3 linked regions of the Arabidopsis thaliana genome follow. The protein of the gene in region 2 interacts with the protein of the main gene of each other region in a pairwise test. Each region holds a gene or a part of one and is shown on either strand. Other genes may lie near its edges. The genes, in order: IAA9, AT5G47790 and PAP1.

What was found.
Region 1: the proteins of AT5G47790 (region 2) and IAA9 interact in binary tests that used the Arabidopsis thaliana proteins (3 or more experiments, as listed by UniProt).
Region 3: the proteins of AT5G47790 (region 2) and PAP1 interact in binary tests that used the Arabidopsis thaliana proteins (3 or more experiments, as listed by UniProt).

What each region holds. Positions count from the first base shown.
Region 1 is NC_003076.8:26,249,082-26,259,818, forward strand, and holds IAA9 (indole-3-acetic acid inducible 9), read left to right. Parts: upstream 1-4,326; 5' UTR 4,327-4,810; intron 4,811-4,865; exon of another isoform or gene 4,866-5,054; intron 5,055-5,342; 5' UTR 5,343-5,381; coding exon 5,382-5,923; intron 5,924-6,018; coding exon 6,019-6,245; intron 6,246-6,357; coding exon 6,358-6,499; intron 6,500-6,652; coding exon 6,653-6,714; intron 6,715-7,009; coding exon 7,010-7,053; 3' UTR 7,054-7,463; downstream 7,464-10,737. UniProt on the Arabidopsis thaliana protein: Aux/IAA proteins are short-lived transcriptional factors that function as repressors of early auxin response genes at low auxin concentrations.
Region 2 is NC_003076.8:19,347,046-19,356,653, reverse strand, and holds AT5G47790 (SMAD/FHA domain-containing protein), read right to left. Parts: upstream 5,363-9,608; 5' UTR 5,259-5,362; coding exon 4,903-5,258; intron 4,829-4,902; coding exon 4,075-4,828; 3' UTR 3,159-4,074; downstream 1-3,158. Other genes in the region: PFK2 (phosphofructokinase 2), read left to right, coding at 1-85; AT5G47800 (Phototropic-responsive NPH3 family protein), read right to left, coding at 528-932, 1,058-2,203, 2,285-2,354, 2,425-2,494, 2,726-3,053; GAUT4 (galacturonosyltransferase 4), read right to left, coding at 6,137-6,412, 6,503-7,078, 7,163-7,520, 7,599-7,873, 7,974-8,086, 8,165-8,234, 8,323-8,364, 8,445-8,479 and 1 more; FPS1 (farnesyl diphosphate synthase 1), read right to left, coding at 9,239-9,367, 9,454-9,525, 9,604-9,608. UniProt on the Arabidopsis thaliana protein: Inhibitor of protein-phosphatase 1 (PP1). Binds to and inhibits PP1 activity.
Region 3 is NC_003074.8:5,606,724-5,616,640, forward strand, and holds PAP1 (phytochrome-associated protein 1), read right to left. Parts: upstream 8,081-9,917; 5' UTR 7,486-8,080; coding exon 7,193-7,485; intron 6,982-7,192; coding exon 6,701-6,981; intron 6,609-6,700; coding exon 6,476-6,608; intron 6,257-6,475; coding exon 6,189-6,256; coding exon of another isoform or gene 6,163-6,188; exon of another isoform or gene 6,113-6,162; coding exon 6,078-6,112; 3' UTR 5,480-6,077; downstream 1-5,479. UniProt on the Arabidopsis thaliana protein: Aux/IAA proteins are short-lived transcriptional factors that function as repressors of early auxin response genes at low auxin concentrations.

The sequences.
Region 1 (10,737 bases), 6.9 Mb from region 2:
CGATGATAAGATTGATATGGGAATACTCTGTTTCCTATTTTTTTATATAATGTTTGACGTGTTTGTATTTGTTAATAAATAAACGTAACATGTTTGATCGTTGAAGATACCAGGAAATGATAATATAAGAATAATTAAATTTTGTCACATGGGACAGTATCAGTAACCCATATATAGACTATTAAAGTCAATATTAAGTTAGATTTTACGGCTGCTACAAGATCTAATGAAAAACAAAAGAGTAGCTGCCGTGTGGAATTCGAATTTGACAAACCTCTTACTTCGATCCTGACTTATAATTTTAGGTATAGCTGTATTTTGTCTTTGCAGTTTTAATTATACATACCGCCAAAAATCAGTTATTCCAAATTTATATATTTATTTATTATTTTCTTAATAGGAACATTTGTTTCTGTTTTTTTTTTTTTTTTAAAACAGATTTCATTTAGACATAAAAGTGTAAGGATAGTAGGATAGTGTTACATTAACTTGTTTAGTGGTTATCATCATCCCATATGTCTAAGCTCGGTTTCCGCATATGCTTCACTCATTTATATATTGCGACAAGTTGATTATGTATAAGCTAGTTATCTTTGTGCTAATCCAATCTTCTATTCTAGGATGACACATGTTTAGGTTCACTAACAAAAAAAACACATGTTGAGGTAGATTATGACATAAGTTGGGCGGCCTTATTCAAAATGGTGCTTTACGAGTTAATTGTGTTAATGCTTGATCAGATTATTCCTCTATGTACACAGATATTGGTTTTAACTCCATCCGTCCATCTTGAAAACAGCGTTTTTGGATAATAATGAATAATCGATCTCTATAATGTATATTATTAGATTCATGTATATCTTGTACTTGTTCCTTTGGAATCTACATGTCTCTTTATATGTTTAAATGTTGTAAACGTTCCAGTTTGTTCAATAAAGAATAGATTTCTCTGCAATAAGAGCATGGTTAGTTTATTACACATTCACACCATGTAATGCTCTAGTTCCTCTTCGAAATTTGACACAAGATAACAATTATCTTTGAGATTTATAAGTTTCTTAGTAAGATTAGATACGATCTTTCATATGCAAACATCTATAAACACTGTTATTGACGAAAACTAAAATAAAGTAAGCACAATTATTTTCAGTTTTTCTTTTTAAATTGTGCTTACTTTCATATACTGTACAATTGAGTTTATAGAAAATTGGTTTCAAATTTCTAAAATGAAATACAAGGAATTTCTATTAGGAAGTAGACTTGCTATTTTAACTTGTAATCACAATAAAAATATCTATATCTATGTGTGTGCGAAGTGTGAACTGTGAATGGGTCTTGAATTTGTCACCGCCGTTTCTTTTAGGGTCAATGAGTATATCCACTAAACCCATCTTACACTTTTTTATATCACTTTTTTTTTTCTATCAATAACAAAAAATTCTATAAAACGTGTTTTAACCATTATAATTGTAAACCCTAAACCCCACGATCCTACACTTTTTATATCACAACTTGTGTGTTTGCTTAAAACGTTGTTAATAACCATTATAATATATATCTAACATAATAACATTAAACTTTTTAATTAGTCCAAAAAATGAACTTACAAATTATTATCTACTAATAACGATTTCAATGAGGTATGCAGCATGTTGTTGGGTTTGTTTTGAGAGTGACGCAAATCTGTCTTTTCTCCAATCTAATCAAAGATACATAGCGATTCGGTGACATCAATTCTAGAACCAAAAAGATTTGATTAAACAGAGAAATTGACTTAATATGCATTTATAATATAAGCTCTTATGTTGTAGAAAAATCCAAACCTGTTCCACAAGCAAAAACTAAGCTGTATGGGACCATGTTGATATAGACTAAGACCCTAAGCGATATGTACAAATACAGGTGTTATACATAGAAAGAAAAAGAAACCGTTTTTTTCTTTTTCTTATATCTAATTCATATACAGCTAGATATACATGTAATTTAAAATGTTATCTTTATGTAGTAATTTATTGCGAGGGATGAAATATCTGACGGAGGTTTTATGTGAAAACTCGAAGGTGTATTTGATTTTCGGTCAAATATATTTTAATGGCTCTCTCGTATATTGATGATCACGGCTCGGTACATTGTCCTATTACGAACTCGATAAAATTAATTATATTATTTTGTTGTGCAAATCCGATTTAGTAGCTCGTCGTTTGACCCTATATTGAGACATATAAAACATATAACAATTTGCAATAAATAATTAGTTGTTTTTGTGTATTTCTAGTTAAAAAAAAATTGAAAAAATTGTGATACAAAGAATTATAAAAACGTTGACAGCAACATGACTGACTAAACGAAGAAATATCTTACGTACATTACATTTTTTTTGGGGTCAACACGTAGATTATAAATTCAACAAATCCTTAATACGAGAGAGGTAAGTATATTATGGCCCATCAAGAAGGATAGTGGCTTATGGGCCTATGTTATAATATGAAATAAAAGCCCAATTATAAATGAATTTTTATATACTAGAGTGCAAAGTCTGGGCCCAAAGTAAACAGTCTAACGTGTCTTGTCGTTTGATTTCCTCCACTCTAATTATAAATTAATTAATTACGGGGAAAAAGATTAATTAACTTTAGTGAATCCATCATCAATCAAAGACTAATAAAATAAGCGTGAAGGACAAAAGCACTACGGGTCTCATTGTCTTGTCTCAACCCGCATTATTTGTACTCGCAAATGCTGCTAATCTGATCTACTGTTTACTTTTGCATTTTTGTAATAATTTATCTGTATTACTATTATTGTTTTTTACCAATCACTTTTTAATTAGACACATATTTTCATGTACTCATAATTTTAAATATAATGTCTGATGGTAGTTGTAGTAATTTGAAATAATTAATATCCTTTACTTATTATACAGACGATTAAACAAAATATGAGAAAGAGAAAATCAAAACTTTTTACGGGGAAGGTTAAGAAATGCCGTATTATTATTCTGGACGGTGAATATTTTTCTTTTACTTTCCTCTTTGTGCATAAGGTGTTAAAGACTTTTTTTTTTGATTAATCGTCTTTAAATCTTTGGTAAAAGGAAAGAAAAAAGGTTAAAAAGAATAGAGAGGGGTAAAAAAGAGATAACGTGAGTGGTACGGAAGAGTGATGATGAAAAAAAAAGAGTCAGAGAAGGTCATGATGATGATGAACGGACACAGGCCTCTCTTACTCTCTTACCATCAAATCCTACGGTCAGATTGAGATATTTTGTGCTTCCCATGCGTGTTCTTCAATCCCATTTCACCCCTTTTGTTATTATTATGCTCCCCTTTCCCCAATTCCCATTACCTTCCTTTTTTAATTACTTTGAATTTTTTACAGTAATTTTTTTTATGTATATTACACCCGACTATAATTTTTTTCTTTTTTTCTTTTTAACACGAAAAGAATGTAACCGACTATAAAAATTAACATACATAATTTACCTGTTTATTACCAACGAATTTACTTTTTTACTTTTTAACCAATCATCCTTATTACTATGGATTAAACGTTGTGTATGATGATCGTAACAGTGCAATTCAGACATATTTAATACTCCAGAAATATGTATGTTGTTCACATTCAAATTTTGTACTTCTAACAATAACACCACAAATTATACTTTCAAAAAATGAGATTTTTTTTTTAAACTCAATTCGGACAAACTTGTATGTATCTAATTTTTGTCATGACTATAATTTTGTTTCAATCAGTTTACTTATTTAAGTGCAAATTCAACAAAAATAAAAAACAAAAATCTAGCACGTGACGTAACCTTATGAAAAAGATTAATCTATAGTCATTATTAAAGTTACTTATACTATTTACCCATTCATCTATCTAGAAGACTACAATGAATGCCAAACCAAAAAAAAAAAGCAAAATGAAAAATTCAAGTTTGGGGGGACTAACATTTCTCAATGGGCCCCATCCAGTTGGGCCAATCTAAGTAAAAAAAATTGAAAGATAAGGAAACGTAATAATGAAAGTTAAAGAAATTAGGAAGGTGGCGGAATTTAATTAAATTTAATCCGAAAGAAAGAAAGTGATTATAAAAAAAGATTAACAAGTCTTAATTAATTTTAGATTAATAAAGTAGAGATAGAGAGAGAAAGGAAGAAAGTGGAAGAGGTTAGATGTCCCATTCACCACCCGGCAAACCGACTTGGAATGCCGCTTTCTTGTCCCCTCCTCACTCCTCTTTTTCTCTCTTTACCATTTTACCCTTCATTCCTCAATCACATTATCATCACATAGAGGTTACATTAGTCATTAAAAACAAAAGGATAGAATCGGAATTTAATATTTGCAGACAACCATCCCCTTTCGGGTGGAGCCAGAAAAGTGGCATAATTTTGTTTAAAGATCCGACTCCCGACATTTGTACATCAACGGTTCATATCTGCTGATTTAAATCCGACGGTTTAGAATTATCAGCACGATCAAATCTGAGCCGTTGGATTAGAATCCATTCGTAAATAAAAATACGCAACTTTTTCCACTTATTTTCTATTCTACCACTTTGTTTAGTTATTTTAATTTTAATCTCGGCTACGAGTTTCTGGGTAATGATAATTAAGCTTTTTTCTGCTTTAATGGAAGGACCTTGACACTTCTCTCTCTCTTTCTCTTTGCTATTCATCTTCTACAGTTTCTTAAAAATTATACTCTTCTTCTCCAAAATATCTCAGACTCTCTTATTTTTGATCGTCTTCTTCTTCTTCGTTGTGAGCTTCCATTTTTCATCCAGGATTTGTTTTTTCCGTTTGAGGTAATTATGTCTTCTCTGTTCTTCTTATACATAGTTTCAAATCCGGTAATTTTTAGCTTGTTGTTGTTTGTGTGTGTAGTTAGTAGTTATTAGATCTATTAGCTATTGAGTTTCTTTGCTGATTTCCTCACTATTTCTATGGCGAATTTTGGTTTGTTTGAGCTGTTGGCTTAAACCTTGCTAGGTTTAGTGATTTGTAGATAGAATTCTGTGGAAATTCAAATCTGAGATCAGCTCGAAAAATGTAACTCAACGGTGTAGTTTCTTCATCTGACCTTAAGTTGACTTCTATTTATTTTTAGCTTTCCATTTTTTTCTCAGATTGAGCTTTATTTTGCTCTAAATTTTGGTTGTGAGTTTTTCATAGATGCAATCTACTTTTGAAACCCTAATTGATACGGTTTCGAGTTTCTTCGAATTTTGATTGAAATTGAGTTCTTGATTTTTTCTGGTAATTTAGGGTTTTGTTTGAGGATTTGTTTATGGTTATGTGAATTTAATGTGGAGGACTTTGTGCTGTGTAAATCATCAGGTAAAGCAGCTTTGCAGTTAAAGAAACCTTGAGTATCCAATGTCCCCGGAAGAGGAGCTACAGAGCAATGTATCGGTGGCTAGTTCTTCACCTACTAGCAATTGCATCTCCAGGAACACTCTAGGAGGACTTAAAGAGCATAACTACTTGGGTCTCTCTGATTGTTCTTCTGTTGGAAGCTCTACTCTCTCTCCCCTTGCTGAAGATGACAAAGCTACTATCAGCCTCAAGGCTACGGAGCTGACACTTGGTCTTCCTGGATCACAATCTCCTGCGAGAGACACAGAGCTTAACCTTTTGAGCCCAGCAAAGCTAGATGAGAAGCCATTCTTTCCTTTGCTTCCTTCTAAAGATGAGATATGCTCCTCCTCGCAAAAGAACAATGCATCGGGAAACAAAAGAGGCTTTTCTGACACAATGGATCAGTTTGCTGAAGCTAAAAGTTCAGTGTATACTGAGAAAAACTGGATGTTCCCTGAAGCAGCAGCCACCCAGTCTGTAACAAAGAAAGATGTGCCACAAAACATACCCAAAGGACAGTCTAGCACTACAAACAATAGCTCTAGTCCACCTGCAGCCAAGTATGAATAGAAGATAGGAGCATTCGTTCGATTTTGATATGGATTACTTTCAACAGCTAGCTAACTGGTGTTTTTTCGGATTCTGGAATTTTCAGGGCACAAATTGTCGGTTGGCCTCCAGTGAGATCCTACAGGAAGAACACATTGGCCACTACTTGTAAGAACAGTGACGAAGTTGATGGGAGGCCAGGTTCTGGGGCTCTCTTCGTGAAGGTCAGTATGGATGGTGCTCCTTATCTGAGGAAAGTTGACCTGAGGAGCTACACTAACTACGGGGAGCTTTCTTCAGCCTTGGAGAAAATGTTCACCACTTTCACTCTTGGTGAGATGTTTCAGTGATTGCTAGTGATGTGTTTGAAAACCTCTTTCTATTTAAGGATCAATGAATGAGTGCAGTCAAAGTAGTTAACCTGCACTGTTTATTTGATGTTTAGGTCAATGTGGATCTAATGGAGCTGCTGGGAAGGATATGCTTAGTGAGACCAAGCTCAAGGATCTTTTGAATGGAAAAGACTATGTGCTCACTTATGAGGATAAGGATGGTGACTGGATGCTTGTTGGAGATGTTCCGTGGGAGTAAGTTTCCTCTCTTATATTCAAAACTTGTTAGAAGCTTTCTCTACTCTCTGCCAGATATCTTAGAATCAAATCTAACATGCCATAGAAGATTATATCATGGTGATTGGTATAAGCGCTCATGAGTGATTTCTGATCCGATGTATATTACAGGATGTTTATTGATGTCTGCAAGAAGCTGAAGATAATGAAAGGGTGTGATGCTATTGGGTTAGGTAAAGTCTATTCTTCTCTCTGCTCCTAAGCTACAACGTAAACTACTATCTCTACTAAAACCGATTACAAGTAGTGTGTATGATGAGATTAGTGGTTTGTTGGTGTGAGTTACTTGTAGCTGATTTAGAAATTTCAATTCATGTTTGATCACTCGTCTTCTTTTGGGAGTAAATACAACAAATTAACATGTAAATAAAATCGAAATTAAACTGATTTCAATTCATGTTTGATCACTCGTCTTCTCTGATTCAAAATGTCTTAATGATTCAATGTGGTGAACTGGTGATATTGCAGCTGCAGCTCCGAGAGCAATGGAGAAATCGAAGATGAGAGCTTAAAAGATGGAACATGACAAAGCTTTCTAACTATACAAAATATGTGCGATCTTTTGGTGGTGTTTTTAAATTTCAAAACATCAATATCTTTAGTTTCTGAATTTTTAAAATGAAGTAAGTAAGACTACGAATGTAAGGAAATGAAGAAGAATTAAAAATGATCTATTTTTGTTGTTTGTTTGTTGCTTTAGTCAGTAAACTGGTCGTTGTTTTATGTTTTGTGTTTGATTTGGATGTGTGGTTGACTTCTACCTTTGAGATATTATTTGATGTAACGTTTTTGTTATTCTCTTCTTTGCTTCTTCTCGAGAAGAGAAGATAGACAATCCGGTTTTACGATTTGGCTTTCTATCATTGAACATGGAGGTTCTTCTTCTGCATTTGCAAAACAATCTTAAATATTAATCAGTACTTAAATCTTTGAGGTGGATTGTTAAATTCTAACACATTTGAATGCGGAAGTGGTAAACCTACGTTTTTCTCAATGTCTATGACTCTATTCTAAATGGAATATCAAGATTAATCAGAAAGAAAAAAAAATCTTTTTATAACTGTCATAACTAAACTGTGCTACCAAATCATTGCCACCAACGGATCTTTAAACCAACTTGAATAATTCACCTGAAGAACCAAAAGCTACAAGACAAATCAAAGATAAATAAAAGTAATTTCGCCGGGAAAAGGTTTTGATATCATTATTTCACTTTTTAACCTTCCATGAAACTTTGTTTACCTTAGCAAGCATGGGCTGCGTACAAACTCATGATAACTATATAGTACAATCCCCAAACGAAGATATCATAAATTTCAACGAATCAGTTTTAGATTTAGTGAATAACTATAGTTTAATAGTATCGAATAATATCGTTTGAGAGAAAAATAGTCAAAGATACATGAACATAAATTCCCATATACTAATTTCCCATTTCTCATTCAAGGAACGTTTATTATTTTTCTGTTCCTGAAGGTGGAAGCATAGTGCGCCTCTTTGGGTTTGGCAATGGTGGTTTGCTTATTTGTTTTATGAAAATTATTTTTGTGATATCATTTATTGTTCATTTTTAATAATTCCGTTAGCGTTGACAAAACAATATGATTAAACCCCACCTAAAATGAAATGTTATATTCAACTGTCCAATTTTTCAAAGAGGCGTTAATTAATCAATTCCAAGGCATATATTCGATCAAGATAATTAAAGACTCATATAGTACTCTCATAGTTTAAGAGAACCTACGGGTCGAATTTAAATCACTCTTGTTACTTTAAAACTTTAATCCAAATAATGTAGTATATATCTGTGATTCTTGTAGCTAGCTTCACGTGAACTTAATAGTATACACATAAACAACAATCATTGGTCGTGAATCTCATTTAATTCGTTTCGCTTTGATGCACTTATTCGAATGGGACATACTATATACATCCATATAAGTTGATAAACTATATAGTAATATTCAATGTTTTTAAAATTAAATATATGAAATAGACTTAGGGAATGACATGTCGAATTTGTCTCCAAAAGATATGAATTGAATTATGCTTCTCAGTAATGGAACGTGGCAATACCTTTATCACTCATCTATATATGGTTGTTCCCCAAAATTATTTCTTCATCAAACGAGAAAAATAAGATTGTAAATGTAAATGATTTGATCATCTCAATGTTGCATTCAAGAATAGTATCTATAATATTTAGTTATAAGCATTAGGTATTAGGTCAATTATATTCAACTGAGTCTACGAATCGAATTGCATATTGCGTAAAAATTCAAATAAAAGAAGCTAGATAAATGAATATACGTACGATTACGAGAATGAATGTGTGTTTCTTCGATTTGGTAGACCTTCAACAAACCCACCGAATTGATGGTATCCATAGATTTCTTATCAGTTATCAGTCATGGGAGAGATTTACGATCTCATATATATGGACAAAATATATCGTATCAGCATTATTATTGATTTATTGTTTAGTTAAGTTCTTTTTTTTTTGGTTTTTCCTTTTTTTCTTTGAAAGGTTTGATTAGCAGTTTTGTCCGGACAGACCAAGTATATATATACAATAATTGTGATTGTGTTAGGACATTCAAAATCTTCCATACAGTTTTCGAATTAAGTTGGTATACAAGTTTTTCAAATGTTAAATCAAATCCAACTAAACTAGATTTGTTAAGGATACATAGGATCATCTCTCTTTAATATCATAATATTCCTCTATCTCCTTTATGGAACATTCTATATTTGTACAACCCTAGTGTAGCCTCCTCTGTACTTGTATATATACTTGTGTAAAGCTATTCGTATAATATAAGTCATTACATTCTTAACATGGTATCAAGAGCCTAATAAGAACATTGTTGGTTGTAAATGGGTATTTAAAAACAAATTTCTCCCTAATGGTTCTCTTGGCAGGTGCAAATCAAGGTTTGTGGCAAAAGGGTATAATCAACAACTTGGCCGTGATTATACAGACACTTTCAGTCCTGTGATCAAGTCGACCACCTTACGTCTTGTTCTTGATGTTGCGGTAACCCGATCGTGGCCAATCCGACAATTAGACGTCAACAACGCCTTTCTTCAAGGCACCTTGAAAGAAGAAGTTTACATGGAGCAACCTCCTGGGTTTATTGATCCCGACAATCCATCATTCGTTTGTCGACTACGTAAAGCGATTTACGGGTTAAAACAGGCTCCGCGTGCTTGGTATACGGAATTGAAGACTTATCTCCTCACCTTGGGATTTCAAAACTCGTTGGCTGACACTTCTCTGTTTATTCTGCAACGTGGCAAATAATTTGTCTATCTATTGGTGTATGTCGACGATATACTAATCATGGGTAGTCACAAAGGAAGCATTCAACAAGTTCTTGATGCACTCGCAGCTCGCTTCTCCATCAAAGACCCTGAAGATCTCAACTATTTTCTTGGTCTAGAAGATCATCGGACGTCTAAGGGCTTACATCTTTCGCAGCGAAAGTACATTCTTGATCTACTTCAACGCTACAACATGATTAACGCCAAACCAGTAGGAACACCAATGGCATCATCTCCTAAACTCACACTCATGTCTGGTATAACTCTCTCCGACCCTACTGAGTATAGAAAGCTTGTTGGAAGTTTGCAGTATCTTGCATTCACAAGACTTGATATTGCATATGCTGTAAACCGCCTCTCTCAGTTTATGCACAGACCAACCAATGATCATTGGCAAGCTGCAAAACGAGTTCTTAGATATTTGGCTGGAACTACGACTCACGACATTTTCTTTGCTGCTCAAAACGAGCTCTCCCTTCATGCCTTTTCAGATGCAGATTGGGCCGGAGACTCAGAAGATTGCGTTTCAACAAATGCTTACATCGTTTACCTCGGGAAAAATCCAATCTCATGGACTGCCAAGAAACAAAAGAGCGTTGCAAGGTCTTCAACAGAAGCTGAATATCGATCGGTGGCAAATACTGCTTGTGAAATCCAGTGGATATGCAGCCTTCTCACGGAGCTTGGGATCACACTTCCCAAACCGCCTGTGGTCTATTGTGATAATGTGGGTGCTACTTTCCTTTGCGCAAACCCGGTTTTCCATTCCAGGATGAAGCACATAGCCATAGACTATCACTTTATTCGTGGACAAGTTCAGCAAGGCATTCTTCGTGTGGCTCACGTCAACACTAGAGACCAACTCGCTGATG
Region 2 (9,608 bases):
CCAAGTAAACACGCGTGACCACAAGTGGGCCTGGGTGCGCTCAGTCACAAACCAGCCTGATTTTGAAACGAACGTTAAGGGTTAATCACCCTGAGAACGAGCGTGAGGCGAAAATCTTGTAAGCAAGTAATAATCTTATTATGTATACAATGAAACTATCAAGGCAATCTTATGTCCTTATCTAAATAACAGTAATTGTCAACAAGGGAACAATGCTTGATTTCTAGGAAAAAAAAGGTTGAAACAAAGTATGTGATCCTTGAACCTATTTATCCTAATAAGCACATTACTACATATTATCCCATGGCTCATGCTTGTTGCTGAACCGTTTTCTTAAGCACATAAGAGAGAGTGGTTGAGCAGGAGCTTGAGCTCTGCATTGTATTAATACAGATCGTGCCACTGGGTTTACATTAACCATCTACAATCATCATCAATTCTTTTTAGAAAGAAAAATAAAAGAACCAGAAATCTGGCGAGTGCAAACAAGAAACTGAATCTCTGTGGCCTAAGACGTATAGTCCCCACTACCTGTCTCTACTTATATGATGCTTATGTTCTGACCCTGTTCCTTTCCACACTATCTTCTTAGGATCTGTACTGGATCTGGTTTTCTCTTCTCCTCTTTTGCATCCCTCTTCAAGCACGTTCTTAGCTTTCCCTGTAGAAGCTGGACCTAGGTGAAGCTTGTGCATCATGCTATGTTCATCAGTGGGTGTCTCTTTACCTCTTGTGAAGAGTTCTTGGCTCTCTGATCGACTTGATGCTCCCTTGGAACCGCTCTCTTGGTCGAAGAAGAGTGCTTGGACGACCGTTCTTAATGGCATCCTCTCATTTTTCACAGCGTGTGCACGTACTTGTGCAGACAATTTCTGGCAGTCAAGACTTCTGCATAGTCGTTTTTTCTCTTCTTTGCTTATCTCGGGATGCACCTGCCATGTTACAAATGTTTTATCAGTTTCAAGTACTGTATGCAAAATGTATGATTTCTGAAAGTAGGTTGGTGAGACTCTCAACCATAGCTAGTTGCCCTTGAGCAGGCCAGAGCATCTGATACCTTGAGAAATATGTTGATCGCTTTGTAAAGTCTGTCATGGCTCTGGCGTGCAATGTCGGGCACTGCCTCAGAAAGAGACACAAATTTGGAAACTGGCATATGGACATCTTGTGCGACTGCCTGAAGATAGGAGTCAATAAGCTTTGCCACCTTCCTGATTGAATGCAGCAATTGAGTGTTGTTACTAGAAAGATGCGCAGAAGACTGTCTTCTCCAGAGCATTAAAAAACTCTCAAGAACTGTAGCAACCAAGTCGGTATCGTAGCGATGGAGATGAGAGGATGAGTGTGAAGGCAACAAGAGGTCTTCAAGAGTTGCCTCCTCGAGTTGCAGACTAGATTTTCTAATCAACTCAGTCTTTGTTGTGAGAGATGCTCTCACATAACTCGCTATGCTAACAAGTCTCAGCAGAAAACCCTCAGAAACCGACCCTTTATCTGCAGGAATCATATTCACAACTGTGTTAACAAGACGCCGATGCCTTTCCAGTGCTGCTTCGTTTTCTTTAACTGAGAAACCTGAATGGCTGTTTGATTTGAAGTATGGTAACCAACGGCAAGTGTAGACATGCAAAGCTTCACCAATGAGCTGAGGTGGCAACGTGAAGGTTGACCTGGCTGCTGTGATGACACAGCGGAATAAGTCCAAGTCGAGGTCTGATATGTCTTCCGTCCACCAGTCTCTTGGAACAGAGTGATGCTGTCTCTTCGCGTAGCCTGGTCTGGTGTATGTATGAGACCAGGAGACCTCTGAAGTTGGAGTGAGGATCTTCTCCACAATTGAATCTATACACTTTCTGACGATTCCAAGATTTTCACACCATTCTGGCAATTTGGTAGTGGACTGCAAAGTGACAATGGAGTCCTTCCAGCCTTGGAGAATGCAGGAGTGGAAAAAAGCTTCAAGCTTTGGTAACAGATTTCCCTTGTCAACGGAATCAGACATCCGAAGAAACTTGGAGGCACAGAGAGCATTCACAAGGTTATGAGCACTGAGGTTGATTGTGATATCATAGCAGAACTTAGCACACAACTCAAAAGCATCGGCTCCACCAGGTATGTCATTCAGCTCTATGGTAACAGTATCAGACTCCTCTAAATCAGTGCAAAGCCTTCGCAACAGCCCACATTTTGGAACAAGACAAGACTGCAGACAAAGATGGAAACCACTATTAACATACATATATGTGTGTGCTGCTATGATAAGAGAGTCAATCGAGATATATACCCTGTGGAGATGATAAGTGGTGTTGTTGATTCTAATAACAAGATCGTTAGGTGTGTCTGTTATCAAAATCCTGCAGTGTAAAAATTTTGTCAGAGAAATGGAATTTGGGAAATTTAGAGGCAAAGAGATCAAGGAACAACCTTGAAGCCTCTTGAGTGTAGAAAGTGTCAGGCTTTGTTCCGATTTTCATGAACTTCATCCTAGACTTCTCTGCGTTCAAGAGGAATATATATATACATATGATGAGAAAGTGATCAAATCTTTAGGTAAAAGTGGGAAAGACACAGGAAGATAATTACATATTGATGAAGCTGAAATTTTATTATATGTATTCCTAAATGATACAAACTCACATGTAGTCTGTTTATGATACAATTCTGAAAACCAAAAGAGAGAGAAAAAAAAACGAAAAAGATAAAGCAAAAGGATGATTGATTTTACCATGAAAACTGGTGTGCTCAAAGGTTGATATGAGGGAGGAAGAAGAAGAAGAAGAAGAAGGAGAAGAGAGAGAGATGTGAAAGTGGTAATGATCAAATTGACATAAAGTGTTAGTGAAATTAAATCCCAAGAGAGAGAGAGAGTTGAATGGCAACAAGGGTCCCGGCCTCGTCACTTGTTGCTCCCCGCATGGACTCAAGTCTCCAAATGGTGTCTGATATGTATTTCCTTCATACTTGTTTGGTTTGAAAATCAAAGCCAGAAAAGTTGGCTCACTAACATATTTGTCATAGGTGCCAAGGTAGTGTTTAAGAGAGTTACGCAGCATAGCTAGTAGCTATAAGTTGGAGTCAGTAACTCCTCTATGGTCTCGTTGGGAGATAAGGTGAAAATTAAGAGAAGAGAAAAGATGAATGGAGGTAGATTGTGTGGTATTAAAGGGTTGAGGTCGTAAAGTATATCATGAAAGTATCCACAACCAAAATAAATAAAAAGCCAGACACAAGTGTCCTTCATGCATTCCATCTTTTGCATAAGGAAAACAACTTCTCACCAAACAGAAAGAAAGTGAGAAACAAAAGTGGGTCTTCCACCTTTCCCTACTATAATTTATTACAAGCGAGTTTACTCTTATGATAAATACAATGGACCACACTAGGAAGAGTAGGAGTTGGATATAGGCTTAACTCAAAAGAGAGTTTTAATTTGGTTGCAGCACATTCAGCTTCTCTCTTCTTTATACTAACTGTCACAAAGCAAATCCCAAAGCAAAGATGCATTGATCCCCAAATCATATCTTAAAGCATCAGAGGCAGATTACCATTTTTACAAGTGTTTTACTTGTTGTCCATTTCCCCCCATGGAATCTCTGTTTTTGTGGGGGAGAGGGAAGTCAACCCACATCATTAGTGTGCTGTTTTAATAATGCAAAAAGGCAAAAGTGAAAAAGAATGAGAGGAGAGGTATTTGAGTACAAATGTCCTCTTCTGATGGAATTGGTCTGCCTTGAGGAGAGAATCTGTAAGTCAGTAGTGGTCTAATCAAATGCACTCCATTTGCATTGGCCCTACTCTCTACTCTCCACACTATTTGTAATGACTATCTATGTAATGCATCTCCTGTTAAGACCCACAACTAGAATGACCACTGACCAGGCTCAAGCTCATATCAAATTTCAGGGTTCTTACTTATAACACAAGACAATGGGCCTGGGCTTAGAGCTGCTCTCTTTTCTTGCTGCAGCCATTGGATAGACAAAGAGGAAACAACATACCAATGCCTTTGGAATGGAATGTAGGCATTAGAGAAGAAGAAGAGTTACTTAAAGGAATCTCAGTGTTCAAAATCAGTTAGTCACCAAACAGATCGTCGTTATCATCTTCTTCACCAACCCCTCCACATTCAGTTTCAGCTGCTGGTTGACTCACAGAAGCCCATGACGTACCAACAGCCTTGGCAAGTGAGTCACCACCGTAAAGGTCATCGTAAATCCCTGTTTTTGGACCCCGTTTCAACATATTCATAGCTTCCTGGAGTCGATCTGTTACACCTCCTCTTGTTCCTCCTGTAAAGGCTTTCTCTTCCTTCACTTTGCCTTTGGGTATGAGTGTCACTCGCACCAGTGATTCATATTTCCCAACGAGGCTTCCTTCTTTGACATTTATAGGACCAGGCTCTGTTTCCACGTCTGCTCCATCAGACATGCCAACAATCTCAGCCAGCTCTCCTCCTAGTTGATCCCTGAAGCTCACTCTCACTTTCTTCATCCTCTTAGCCACTCCCGCTTCTGATCCGGTCTTCTCTTTCCTTTTCCCTAACATACCACCAGATTCTCCATTGCTTAAACCATATCGATTCAGCAAGGTATTGTAAGCAACAACAGCTTCCTCATCAGAAGCATCAGGAGGTGGAGGAAGCTTAATCTCAGCTGGAGGTGGAGGGCGAGAAAAGAGAGCCTCACTGTTCTTTCTCAGAAGGTAGATTCTTGTGGAGGCAGCAAATCGTAAGGATTGACCCACTTCAAGCTCTACAGGAGTATCTTTAGTCAACCTCTCATTTGCAACAAACGTACCATGAGCTGATCCCAAGTCAATCACAAAGATGCTACAAAAAATAAAAAAGACTCATGTCAACAGTGGCCAAAGCTGTGATGAGAGAATTGAGTAGCGATGACAAACCTGCCATTCTTGTGAGGAACAACTGCGGCATGCTGGCGGGAAACAGACTGATGATCAAGGACAAAATCACAAGTCTGATGTTGTCTCCCGAAGATATGCCTTCGTCTATCTAGATGAATCCGATCAAGGATCTGGCCGTCTTTCACAACTTCCAGAGAGTAGACACCGGCACGAGGCTCAATCGCCCAATCAGGGGGATGCCAGTTTGATTGACCAGCTCCAATCTGAGTTTTTTGCCCCGACAATGCCTCCGGAGACAGATGTTGTTGTACCACCGGAGGAGGATTTGCTGATACAGAGAAGGGTTCCGAAGTTTGGGACTTCTTAAACCTGTCAAGACCAGATCTTCCATACATTCTCGAATCTAAATCTAAAAAGCAGCAATCTTTCTTTCTTTACCAGTCGACGTATTCACATGATCCCCTTCAAGTAACCAGACTCAGTCTAGGGTTTCTCCTTTCTTCAATTCTGTCCAAAGATCGAACATCTACTGAGAACATAAATTTGCAGCTTCAGTCCCTATACTTTATGTATTCTTCTAAACGTACCCCTATGTTTTTTTTTATGGATCAGTGAATTTCATATCCTAACAAATCAACTAGGTCAAGATAGTAAGGCTTTTCACGGAAATGCTTTGAGAATCCTGTGGATGTGATTACGAAGTAGAATCCCATCGTTGATGGCAACCATACCAACCTGTAACATTGTGTTAGAGTACTACTCAAGTGGACTGCAGCGTGAGAAAATTATGAAAAACTTACCTGTGGAACTCTGAACCAGCAAGGTTGAACACGGCGGGTGACAGAGTTAAACTGAATATACAATAAACTACACAAGTCAAAACGTATTGTCAGAGTCATTCGAAATCACATTCACGTAATTCCGATTCGAATCTCTTTTCGTCTTCACTGGGCTAATATTCATGCTACTCTGGTTCGATAATCGGCTTGACTATTTATGTTGTATTGCTCTTTGGCAAATTTGATTAAAGTCTAAAGTCTCCTATAGACCTATGTCAATTGTCACTTGCTTTACATAAACAGCGACAAAAAGGAATACGAAAAGTAGTTGTTTCATTGTTTCGTTGTCATTCCTCTTGTTGATATATATGTTGCAATAATAACATCGGTCGTGCCTATTGGAACTCCTTTTACCGTGACATATACAATTTCATGTAATGATCATCTCGTCAGATTATAAACGTATAATATTGCCCTCACAACAGACTCTAATTCTAAGGATTGATGTTGCATTCTCTGAGATAAACGTGCTCATAGTCTACATGCTTTGACCAGAAGCCTCTGTATCTTGGAATCCCAATCTCTAGCCATGGTTTGAGGTTGCCATTATAGTGTATCACGGCTGCCCTCTCAATATCCCTTTGGTTCACACTCGGGTTGTATCCAAGCCCTAGTATGTGCCATTTCCGGTCTAGCGGATATGTTCGTCTCCAAAATGTGATTAGACCAGGCGGCAACGTCCCTAGCTTCCACAATTCTCGGTCTTGATTCTGCAGTTTAAAATCGTTCGTGTATATGATTAGCAAACATTCTTGAAATCAAAACAGATGCGACCTAGCATATATATATTTTCTGCATACCAGATCCTGCCATCGATGATAAACTTCTGTGATGTTTTGCCTCTTCCATTCATCCAGATCAAAGACATTCATACCATACGCCCAACCACAAGCTCGAGGGTCAAAGTTCTTGGAAATGAGTGGATTTGAGAAGTTCAGATAACGGTCAAAGCGATGAAAGCTTTCCCCACACGTCTCTACAGCACCGTTAACATTACCTTTCAGATCAACTGACCAAAGACCAGAAAGGTCCTTCTGCACAACTATATCATCATCCAAGAAGAGCACTTTGCTGAGCTTGGGAAAGATCTCAGGCAAGTAAAAACGAAGATGATTAAGGATCGATAAGTATTTTGGATTCCGGAACTTCAAGTTGGTGTCTGAATTTGTATGGTGGGCTCTGAAGTAATAATCTATCATCGATCTAGAACTAAGCTGTTTGAGAACGGGACTGTAGCTTGAATTCAGCCATGTAAATTCTTCAACATTCTGAACCTGGATGGTGGCTTTGCCAGGTGGATTGTCCAGGAACCACATCCTCATTGCCGCATAATTGAGTCTGTCTGTGACGATGTGGAAGACATGCTTTAAGGGATGCTGCCAATAAACCATTAAGACCGTAAGTTTAACAGAAAGAAACACAGTTACATGTTCAAACAAAAGAAGAAAGTTAATTCTTACCTTTGCATTGGTTATGGTAGAGTTAACAACAACTGACGTAGCCAAAACATTATCAGAGAAAAGGGCATAGTGATACAGCTGAGTATCTTCTAGTTTCTCCTGATTTGGAAATTGTTGTTCAGATGAATTTAAAGCATAATAGTCTGTAGTGAGGCGCAGAGGAAGGCAGTGAAGTCCTTTAGGAATGGTCTTAGCAGTCAATTGAGTCAAAAACATGGTTTGCTTCTTATGGACCCGTAGCTGCTCATCTGCGGAGTGGAGCATAGCACGTAGCTTCTTGACCACTGTAGAACAGTCATCTTGGATCTGCTTGCCTTTGGCCAGTGTTTGCTCCATTGCTTTTAGCTTTTCTATAGCACTGGGGTTCAAAAAAATGGCAGAGAAATATCAGTTAAAGAGGAAGAAACATATATTTCAAGAGGTGAGAAACACTTACGTCTTTGGCAGATCCGAATCCTTGGAGGCATCTGCAAGTGCCCGTTGAACTTCTTTAATACGGAGTCGAAGCTCTCTCACAAAATGAGCATTGGCCTTTGCAGATGGAAGGGAAAGATAAACCTTTGCCCTAATAAGCTGATCTTTAAGATGCCTCACTTGAGCATCAGGCATCAACACGTTTCCAGTATCTTTCTTAGCTCCAAAAGCATTAGGCTCTGGTTGCTCATCAACTTTTTCAGAGGTTTGTTGGGTCAATTGAACATGCATATTTTCCTACAAGGATCCAAATATATACTATTACCAAGCATCAAATTCAAATCTGGAGCCAATCAACTTAGGGAATATCCAATCTGATTCTCCGGAAAACACGTACCCTATTAATATGCGAGTCTGAGGCTGCATCATGAGTGACTTGTTTGATGGAAATGTCAGTATGTGAGTGAGTATCATCGTCGGTGGCGGAAAGAACTCGAGCAGACAATTGGTCTGAGAATGTTAAAAAAAATAATCAAGTCAAGTAAGGAAGACATCACAGAGAGAGGCGAGTGAGAGAATTGAAGTTACCTAGCCGCCGTGAATTCTTATCGGAATAGACAGCACCGACGAGTCCTCCTCTGAGCACAGCGGGAGATTCCTAAAGATGAATGTGAAGAAGAAAGTGAAGAAACGAGCTAAGATCTGAGTGAGGCGAATCAATAAGTAACTGGAAAAAGAAAAGGTACCCGAGGAAGAAGATTCAAACGATTCTCATCGGAATTGAAAGTCTGAAAAGGAAACACACAATGTGACGCAATGGAAGGGAAGATCAAAAGAGAGAGAGAGATAGAGGGAAGAAGATACGGACCAAGGCGGTTACGTCCTCGAGGAAATCGCGTTTAGCTACAGAACGAAACAAAGAAGATGATAAGAAGCAAATTTCAAATCGGAGAATTGAGAAAGAGAGAGAGAACTACTGACAAAAGGGGGTCTTGAAGGAGGCAGCGGGATCGGTGTAGAGAAGGATATGAGCAACGACGGTGAGGAGCATGAAGAAAAGAACAAGATTGCGAAGCTTCACCATCATCGTCGTCGTCAGATCAAGAGAGAGACCGAGCCATTAAATCTCCCATCTTTCTTTTTCTTGTTTCTAGTGTGTGAGTGAAAAACCAATTGCTGCTAGCTGGATGATGATGGTGGTCGTTGAGGATAAGACGCTTTTACCCTTCACAGCCATTATTTATAAATAAACTCTAGTTGTTGTATTAAATTAAGCGACAAGGTGACGTGTCGAGGCCTGCGCTTGAAGCTTTATTTTCTTGCCTTTGGAATGGAATGTAGGCATTAGAGAAGAAGAAGAGTTGCTTAAATCTCAGTGTTATAAAATCAATGTATGTATCGAGTTATCTTCTTCTGTTGGTCAATATTATGTATGTAGTCACAGGCATCAACCAACAAGAATCTCAAATTCATATAACTGATGAAAGAAGAAGATCATAGTCATGAAACAAATACAATTGTAACACAAGAATAAAAGTGAGGCAGGTTTATTATTCCCCCTGAAAATCAGAGCACTTAACAGAATTACACAAATCACCAACCAAGAATCAAAGACATAACAGGAAATTTTTGAGGGCTGAGACTTATGTTTGTCTGTCTCTACTACTTCTGCCTCTTGTAGATCTTAGCCAAGAAGGATTTTAGCACTGCTTGGATTGCTTTACTTTGGTGTCCCTCAATCGCTCCAGTCAGCTTCTCGTAGCTTTTGCTCTCATACTCCATGAAAACTCCCTATCATGTTCAGATCAAACCATGTCCAATTAGCAAAAATGTTAGTTGTGTATTACAACATCATATCTCTGAGGTTCGCTACAAACCTCAAGATCCAGCTCTTTGTAGAGATCCTTCACTTTAGCAACGTTCGATGGGTCGGGTTTACCATAGTTCTCCTAGTAAATCAGAACAAAACATGTTTCAGGTTCCAAACAGGATACAAACCTTTTTGATCAAGATGATATGGTTCTTACATATA
Region 3 (9,917 bases), on a different chromosome or scaffold from region 2:
CGTTATTAATAAATTTAATTATCCCATTTCCCTTCCTCAACCCATAATCCCATTTATTTTAAAATATATAGTATAAATTTAAATGCTAACCAAAATAGAAATTTTTTCTTAAGGTAAGAAGATCTAATGAATTTTGAAACAATCACAAATTAATCCGTTTTTATTTAGTATGAAGCGTGCATTACGCTAATGACATTGATTATCTTGACTTATTAGCTGTTTCTAAAATATAGTCTGGTTTCAAATGGATTGATATATCATATAAATGCAAAACCAAACTATATATTTTTACGGTCGTGGTTGACGAAACGTTGACTAAGTTGTTCCCATCATTATAGCTAAGGTTTATGCTCATGTCGGAGTGTGGCTTGGTGAGGAACAAATGTGAAACTGGAAACTATAACAAAAAGTTGAAACTTTATGTCTTAATGATGAGTTTCTGTTACCAATCAAAGAAGGTAGTAGCATTGGGTTTTGTCTACCTCGAGAAATGAAGTTAACTTTGTGAAACAATGTACCTTTTAACGTTTTTCTTTGTACTTTTTTGGGTGTGATTTATATGGTTTTGGGAAGTCATACTAATTTTAGATTCTATAGTCGTTATGGAAATTTCACGGTTGCAAAATATATATACATACATCCGGTAAAAATTGACCAATAACTTCGATCATCGTGACAAACAAAAATATTTACCGCAGCAAGCAAAATGTATTTTACCTTTTACATTGTCAGGAAAATTCTACTATGGAATACCTAGATTTGTGACAAGACTATATTTTTGGTTCTAACAGAGTAGATGATACTAACGATGAGACGTAAATTAGTGATGATAATCCTTTTTTGGTTAGCAAGAGTCTTTGGATGATAAATCTCTTAACCCAAAATTTATTATAATTATTGAAAATTTAAAATGCATTTGGCATGCGAACAAAAAGCTTTTGGGATCTTATTTTGGGGACAATGAGTTGTTCTCGTACAGATGACAGATCCAATCGCTGAATATAAAATTAGGAATGGACATTTAGTTTTATTTTATTTTATTGGGTTTGGGTCAGTATGGTTGATTTTGTTTTAGTACAAATGAAGCTCACATCTAACCGAAGTTATAGATCGGTTTGGTTTGATTTTATTTTGGTTTGCGTTGGAGTTAGTTCCCATAGATTTAAATCTGCAAATGTATGTTCTTGTGTTCTTTTTCAAACAATTGTCTGCATGGTCTTTAAGCCACATAAATAAAAATGTCTACAACATGTTTCAACCCACTTTGAAAGGTACTATCATTGTAAGGTTTAAAATTGAGAAGACAAAATTTTGTTTCAAGCATTATAAACGCTCTTTGTTTCAAAGAGAGGATGACGAATTATTCACATTTCATTTGATAGTGATCAACGAATAAAGATAAGCAGTGGTAATGCTAAAGATTTCTTCAGAGAGAAATAGAAATGTATCTTACAGCATCTATACTATATAGAAATATCGACGTAATTTTATAAAATCATTCAGCCGGGATGCAACATAAAGATCAAACAAGCCATATGACTTATGGAACGAACAGACTAATTAAGATATATTTGGAAGATTTGTTGTCATCTAACGCAATTTCTAGCTCATCATTTAATTTGACAAACCTATACATATTTTAAAACCATTCTACACGTTTAAACCAATATTGAGTTGTCCCGCCACGGCCCAACAATTTCAAAATGGGAGATGAGTTTGTTCAATGGGACGCACGGACTTACGTTGCAAAGACTTTAAAATTTGATTACATTAGGCAAATTATCTTACTGCGTTTACCATTAGTTAATCATATATACGTGAAGATTCTTGATTTCCTACTACTGTTTGTAATTTTGCATGGAGTATGTTCAGGTCTCTTTTAAATGTTTTAATCACTGTAAATAAGTGTTTAAGTAAGTTTCTAGCTGGTTTATATCCAACTCATTTACCAAAAACAAAATATCAAACTCAATTCATTTGATCATGTCTCACACATATTTGTCTATACTATAAGAAGTTTAATTATGATGTCTGTTTTTTTTTCTTTTCGATAGCTTCAAATGAAAACACACATTCGACACCGAACATGATCATGAACATGATAGCTCGATTCATCAATTCAACAGACGTGATAAAACAACGTAACTTTATAAAATGGGTAAAAGACCTTGTCTAAAACTGCATAAAAATTTGAGATTAATTCAATGATCATTATGAATATTACAAATTCATATATATATATATATATAGAGAGAGAGAGAGAAAGAATTTAAACATTTAAGAACATAATCGAAGTGAGCTTCAAGCTTTCCATATACTGTATATGCTATTACATGAATTACAAGAAGAACTTATTCAAATCGTAATCCTAATCAGTGTTAAATTAACTGAAAACTTATTTATATATTTGTAAAAATTTACCTTGCCTTTCTTTTATTTCCTTTTTTCTTTTTGCCTGACTTCACCCTGTGTGCCATAAGACCCCTTCTATGAAATTGGCACTCTTTAAAGTTATCTTCGTCAGGCCATCTCTGAAGAACCTCTGCTTCTTATGGCTTTTCCTCTTCCTTACCAAAACTAATAGACTCACTTTGTCTCTTGCTTCGTTCTCAAGAAGTAGATACACCAATAAGAAGACATAAGTTTTGTCTCTTTTTCAAAGATTTCTCTGTTGTTCGCTTAAATTTACGATACAACCCTTCACAAACCATATCTACTTAAAATGAAAGGAGCATATAGAAACATATGAATAAAAGTTTAACCGATGAAACGAACAAGTCATTAAGCGTTTATATGTCAAAGGGATGTTTCTAGAAGCACTCGATAGCTTAGGGACACTTTACTCATAGAAACATTTATTCATATAACTCAATGATTATACATTTACATTATGAGCACACAAGTAATACGATAGGCCCATCACAACTAAAAAATGCTAAATTCTTTCTTTCGTTCTATCTTCTCCTTATGATATTTTCAGTTTAATTCAGATGTTTATACCTACGTACGCATTAGGCTGGTTAGGGAAGTATTTGATTTTGTATGTATTCAATTTCTTTTATATTAGATCTGTTTTGAATTCATCTGATTTGTTCCCTTTGGCTCGTGAGTGTCGAGAAGAACACTCATCATTGTCTTATTGCTGGTACGTTTCACACATTTTAATAAAAGATCTTTCAAATAGTTAGATCATGACCTACTGTATAAACTTACTTTGTTGAAAGACTGATCTCCGTATCTGTGTTCTTTTGTTTTGGATTTTTCCTGTTGTATTATCTATTTATTTTCCTTAGATATAACAAAAATATATCACTCTCTTCATACAATTATATAGATTTATCCATTTTTATTAAAATTCTACGTTTTAAAATTTTGATCGTTTTATCATTCAAAGAAATCGGCGTTTTTGTCAAGTTGTCTCTACAATTTAACTTGAATTATTTTGGAGCGTGAATTTGTTTGACACACGATTTAAAAACTTTCTAAGGGATCATCATATAGGAGAGCTAAGTGGGATAGACATGTAGAAGGATTCAACCCTCAAATTCATTATTCTTTAGAAACAAAAATATATACATATTTTACCAAAAAAAAATTAAAAAAAATATATATACATATTCAACAGTTATGGGCGCCTCCACTTGATGAATTCTTTATATTGGAGAATCTTGTCTCTAGTCAAAACCCATAATCATCTATTTCATTTTATATAAACTAGTACATACAAATTTTAGTTGAGCAAGATTTCAAAACACGCATGGAAAAGATTATAAATGTGTAAGGATCACCGACGAAATTTATAAACCTATCCACCTTACTCCACTGTCCACAACAAAAAATTGTACTATTTACCATAAAACTCCACTACAAGAACCAACCTCATTATCACTATATATATTCAAAGTTGTACGTAAGGTAGACATGACTCTAGTGTAAGAGATGAATATATTGAAGAAACCTTTCACTGTTTTTCTTAATGTGGGCCAAATATTCCTACTGTTTTACAAGATAAAGTCGTTAGTGTTCTCTACGTTTAAAGAGTATGTCGGAGAAATATTTTCCATTTTATACAGCGCTCTTAGGTGTTACAAATAGGAGATACATTAGTATGTAGGGTTATATATAATAAGATATTATTTTTTAAAGGTGGTACCAAATTATCAAGTGGTTCAATTCTTACCTTATAGCATTTAAATGTTGACTAAAATAATTATTGACAAGTACTATTCGTTGCATATATGTTCAATTCATTTAAAATCAAAATTTTCAAAGATTTGGTTATAAACTTTAATATATGTGTGACTGTTTGGAGTGTGTCGACCGACCCAGCATGGACCCAAATTCTTGATGTAAGGCCCATTTAAGAGTAAAATGGCACACAGTCCGAATAAAGATACCCGAAACGTTACGCAGTGTATTTGCTGATATTCACTAATAACACAATGGACAATTAATAACTGATGAAACTAAACTAGAAGGTTTACGTCGACATTTTTAAGTTTTTTTATTTGTTTATCAGCAAAAAAAACAGGTATTCAAAGTTCAATTCTTTGTTGCAGTGGTGGAGATAACCATCACAATCATGTATATTAAATGATGGGTTCCTTTATCTAAAGAACGAGTTATAAGTCTCACATTTGCTATGAGTTAGGCATGTCTCAACGAAAATGACTATTCTGAAAAAAAATTCAATGTTTCTATCGTATTTATTTTTCATGTCCCATTCAGTATTTTCCCCCAGACCCCAACCACAAATTCTAACCCATACACTCACTACTGCTTTATAAGAAGACACCACGAATTGTCAATTGCTCATGTTGTTGCGCTATATTATTTTTTGCATATGCTTAATAAGGTAAAAGTTAGTATGTAAATATATCTTTAGGTTCCAAACAATGAAAATATAATAAGTGGTGCGCAGGGCCGGTTCAAACTTTTTGAAGACCTTTTGCTGATTTATAAAAACTGACTTTAGTTAATATTGGTTTTTAATTTCTGTAATTTTTGGACCCTAAAACCTTAAAGAAAATTGAAAAAAAAATTGAGGACCCTGTGCTTTTGCTCCTCTAGCACTCCCCTAGAGCCGGCACTGGTGCGACATTTTGCAACAAATGAAACAACGGAATTTTCCAACTCATTATGTTGCGGCTATCGCTTTACATATGTTTCGAAAATGTTTCTTTTTTGGTTTGGTTAAAAGTTAAAACATATACCATTATTTAGCTACCAAAAAATGTTATTATCAAACTATTTGGCTGCATCAATTTCAATGGTTATATTGTTTAACCACAACACTCATCTGGTAATGAGAAGGACAACTTCGAATAAAATTTTTAAGATGAATACAAGTCGGCCAAGTGATGCTTGTGGTATGAATATATTTATCACGAAAACAATGTGCTAAATTAAACATATCTATAGTGATGTTTTAGTCGATCCACCAAGACACTGTCCAATAAGTTACAATGTGTATGTATGATTTAAAAAGTCAGGATAAAAAGCTGCTAAATTCTGCACCTAGAAGAACAAAAGAGATGATATAGCCACCAAAATTATCACGACATGGACTGATCTCATTCTGAAAAGTCTTTTTTGAGTTTTCAACTTCCAATCTTATCTTCTTATATACATGCATACTCAGGTTAAATAGTAAAAACAAGAAGAAAAAAAAAGACAACAACAAAAACAACAATAATGGCCTTTCATTCTCAGCTTTTTACATGATTAAAGGTATAGCCAAAGTTGGAAGGAACAAAAGTTAAAAGAGCTTTTACAGAGAATAAAAATTTCATCTTCTTTTTTCAAAAAGAGTTTTGCAGACATGCATGAGATAATTATTACAGTATGTTCTAATTATCTCCTTAATTAATTAAAATGCTTATAAACACAGATTGCTTATGTAATCTCATCGTCTAGTGTCTTGAAGACATGGGAATATCAGATCAGATCAAATGTTTCTCTGGACCAAAAAAAAAGTAAAAAACCAATGATTAACTCTTATATATAACAAAAACCAGATGTACATTTATAAAGCTTTGAGACTCTCTGTCTGAAATAAAAGTTTCTAAAAAGACTCTTCAGTGCATCATCTTCTCTTGCTTACTGCATCCAACTGCAAATATACAGAGGAACCCTTTTAATCATATAGCTCTAATAAATCATCTAAACATATAAGAACAGAAGCTTACATGTCAAGGCAGATGAAATCTCAGAGCTTTTAATCACACGCAGTCTCTTCACAGATGAAACAAACATTCTGTGTTTAAAAACAAAGATTAAAGATCAGTTAGTATGCAAAAAAAGAGGTATAAACAAATCTCCAAGCAAAATTCTATTCTTTAGGTAAAGAATTATCAATTTGAATTACTACTACTATTGATTAAAAGCTGAGAACTTTTGTTGTTATATGATCAAGAATCTAATTCTGCAAAACACTGAATCAGATTCAGAGAACAAAAGGGGAAAAGATTCTTACTGCCATGGAACATCCCCAACAAGCATCTTGTCCCCTTCATTGTCTTCATAGGTTAAAGTAAATTCTCCTTTCCCATCTAATAATCCAATGATAGGTTTCTCTTCTCCTTGACCATCAGAGATATCTCTTTGAGCTATAAACCAACAACATACACAAATCATACTCAGTAAACACAAGTAACACTCCTAAAGAACTAAAAAACAGAATTTGAGATTAAGATTTAACCTGCGAGTAGACCTCTGAAGAGTTTGTCAACGACAAAAGAGAGCTGTTCGTAGCTGTTGTAAGCATTGAGATCAACTTTACGACCAATAGGAACACCATCCATGTTGATCTTGACAAACATTCCTTCCTTCTTGGTTTCAACTTGTTTTTCACCATCATCACTCTTGTTGATTTGACCTCCATGAGAGGATTCGTTACCTAGCTTTGAAGAGCTTGTGCTCGCTAGATTCTTTCTGAACGAACGAACCGGAGGCCAACCCACCACTGGACCAGGAGCAGTTCTTTGAACCAGATATCAAAAGAAACAAGAGACATATGTCAATACCAAACGACAAAAACAGAGCAAAACAGAGTAAATGTTGAAACTTTTAACATGTGAAGGTAAAAAAAAAAACACAGATTGCAGAAGATGGGTCCCTAATGTTCAAGAGAATATCCTCTGTCAAAGCAGTAAGAAAAAATAACAGTGAAGGAAAAAAAAGGAGATTATACCTTTTCTGTGAGATGTGAGGAACAGAAGTGGTTTTGTTGGAAGGAGAGAAGTGATTGCCATTAAAACAGTGGAAAGATTTGTCTTCTGTTTCCTTCTTGATGTTTCTTATCTCTGTGTTCTTCTTCTTGATTGCTGAATGATCTTCTTCATCACCACCGGGTGGTCCAAGCCTTAGCTCAAGTTTCTTCTCCTGATCTGTGTTGTTCTTGTCTTCTTGGTACCATTTCCTTCCTTGTGGAATCAAATCAAGAAGTTTTGGACCGATTTCTCTGTTTCTTGGACAACCTTCCATTGATCAACCCAAGATTCCTTCTATACGTTAACTATGTATGAAATTGAAATCTATAGCTTCACTAAACCCTAAGAACCCCTTTTAAAGAAACAATCCCACAAAACTGAGAGCGAGAGAGAGAAAGAGAGATGTGTAATGAAGGTATGGTAAGAGAGCAGTGGTGGGATTTTATACAAAATCAAAGCTTTTTTTTTCTCTCTCTCGTGCACGCTTTGGTGGGTTCTCTCTCACACAGCCTTACCTTTTTTTCTTTCTCAATTTGTTGTTCTCTCTCTCTAAAGATTCTGAAAGGGACGAGAAGAGAAAAAATAGGAATACAAAGAAAAGGAAATTTGGATTTGTATGAACAAAAAAAAACTCAGAAAAAGGTAAAGCAAAGTAGAGTGACTCCACTTTTACTCCTAAACCCCAAAAGTAGAAATGAAAACTACAATAAATTTACAGATTGCATACCAAGAAAAACAGTAATTGTTCTTGACATGAAAAGAGAATACTGTGAAAAAAAAGAAGTGGGTTTTAACGTTTTTGGTTTTAGGAGTTCTTTTGTGGAGTAAAACACACGCAACCTTGTCTTTTTTTCTGCCTCAAATATCGCTAATTAAGGGTTTGTCTAGTAAAAGAAGCAAAGCGTGCTGTTCTGTTTCTCACAAGTATACGAATTAGAAAAATAATTAAATGCGTAATTCCAATAAACAACTTGACCATTAAAAAAATACTAATAAGAGTAATTAAAATATGATAACAATAAAGGAACTAAGGGAAGATCCCATAATTTATGGTCTGTTTTTAGGACCACTCTCTTATCCACTGTCCATAAGACACATATCCCTATGCTTTTCTAAAAACATTTTTCTATAGGTCGTCATGGTAATTTGATACTTTAATAGTAATACTACCATTCTACAAAGATATACATAAAGCAAATAATAAATGAACATCATGGGAAGATCAATTGAGAGAATTCAAGAAATGGGTGAGGCATTGTATAAACATACGAATCTGCATGGCGTCTCAGTGAGATATATGTAATTATTTATTTATAAATTTGCCACACAATATGTCAATTTGTTAGGTAGCTAAACAATTATTTTGTCAAAAGTTAAAAACAATGTGTACGTGTGGATTACGATGGTATAATTTAATTTGCTTCCCCAACCAAGTAAATAGTCAACTGTTTGTTTGTTTTTCCTAATCAAAAATTTTCTTTTCTCAAATCTACAAAATCAACATATTTTGATAAAAATAACAAAAGAAAAGACTTTAGCAGAAACAATTGTAGTTGGTCCTTTGATCTTAAAAAATGTACATAATTTTGCAGCGTAAATCAAGAACATATTTCAAGTTTTTCAACCAAAGATTGAAGCTATTTTATTTGGTTTTTCAGGAGGGGGAAAAGAATGTACATGTCTCTCCCACGTACGTGTGACACCGATATTACGATAAAGCCGACGTAGAAAAATCTCGAGTGAGAGTTCCGGTCAAGTAAGGAAGGGTAATTTAGGAAATTGAAGAAGGAGTGTGTCTCTAGTCATATCTTGTCGCCGTTTTACCCAACTCCGTGACTTTCTTCCCTCACTGTCAGACAAAACCTTAACCATGGTTAACATAACCTGAACCTCTCCGGTTTAACTTAACCGCACTAACTAGATCCGCACAGACAAACTAGACAGTGGACACATGTTGAAGTTGCACAAGATTTTGAGATCGTACGATAAGGTTTAAATTTGGGCTTTAATCAAAGCCGTAGAAGTGAATAGAGATATAGCAAATGTGACGGCTGTGATTAAAAGAGTACAAAGCAAAGCATCCGATTAAAAAAGTAGCCGACTCAGGAGAAAAGGAACAAAAAAACAACTCGTGAATTGAATGTCATATCAAGGGAAATAAAGAAAAGCAAGTGAGAATAGTGGTGGTGTCAATGATGCTCTTCCTAGAATTTTCACCAAGAAATAAAATTATTTTTATCCACTCACTAATTTTTTTAGTGAACTAAAAAAGGAGTATATGTAAGAAATTGATATCATTTTAACAAAATAAAAAGAGGAATAAAAGAAAAAATAATCCAAATATGGATAAGGTCTGAACTGATCCTCTAGTATAACTGGCCCATGAAAATCACGCTGAAAATGAGCCCAATTGTTGATCATCAATGTTCATGAACTTCATGCCTTTATGGAAAAATGGGTTGACTATTGAGTTTTGACTACTAATACTAGTAGTTTTGTGAATTTATCACATATATAATGCAAGTTTCTTAGAGTTGAATGAAAAAAAATCATGCCTTGCATATTTGATTGTACTCCTTTCTTCAAAATTTTGTTCATGTTTTTGGGTGCTTGTATTTGCATATTTAGAGTAGACTATAGAAAACTAATTTTTTTTTTTTTTTTTCTCATCTCTTCTTATCAGACTTGTATTCCAGAAGGCTTCAC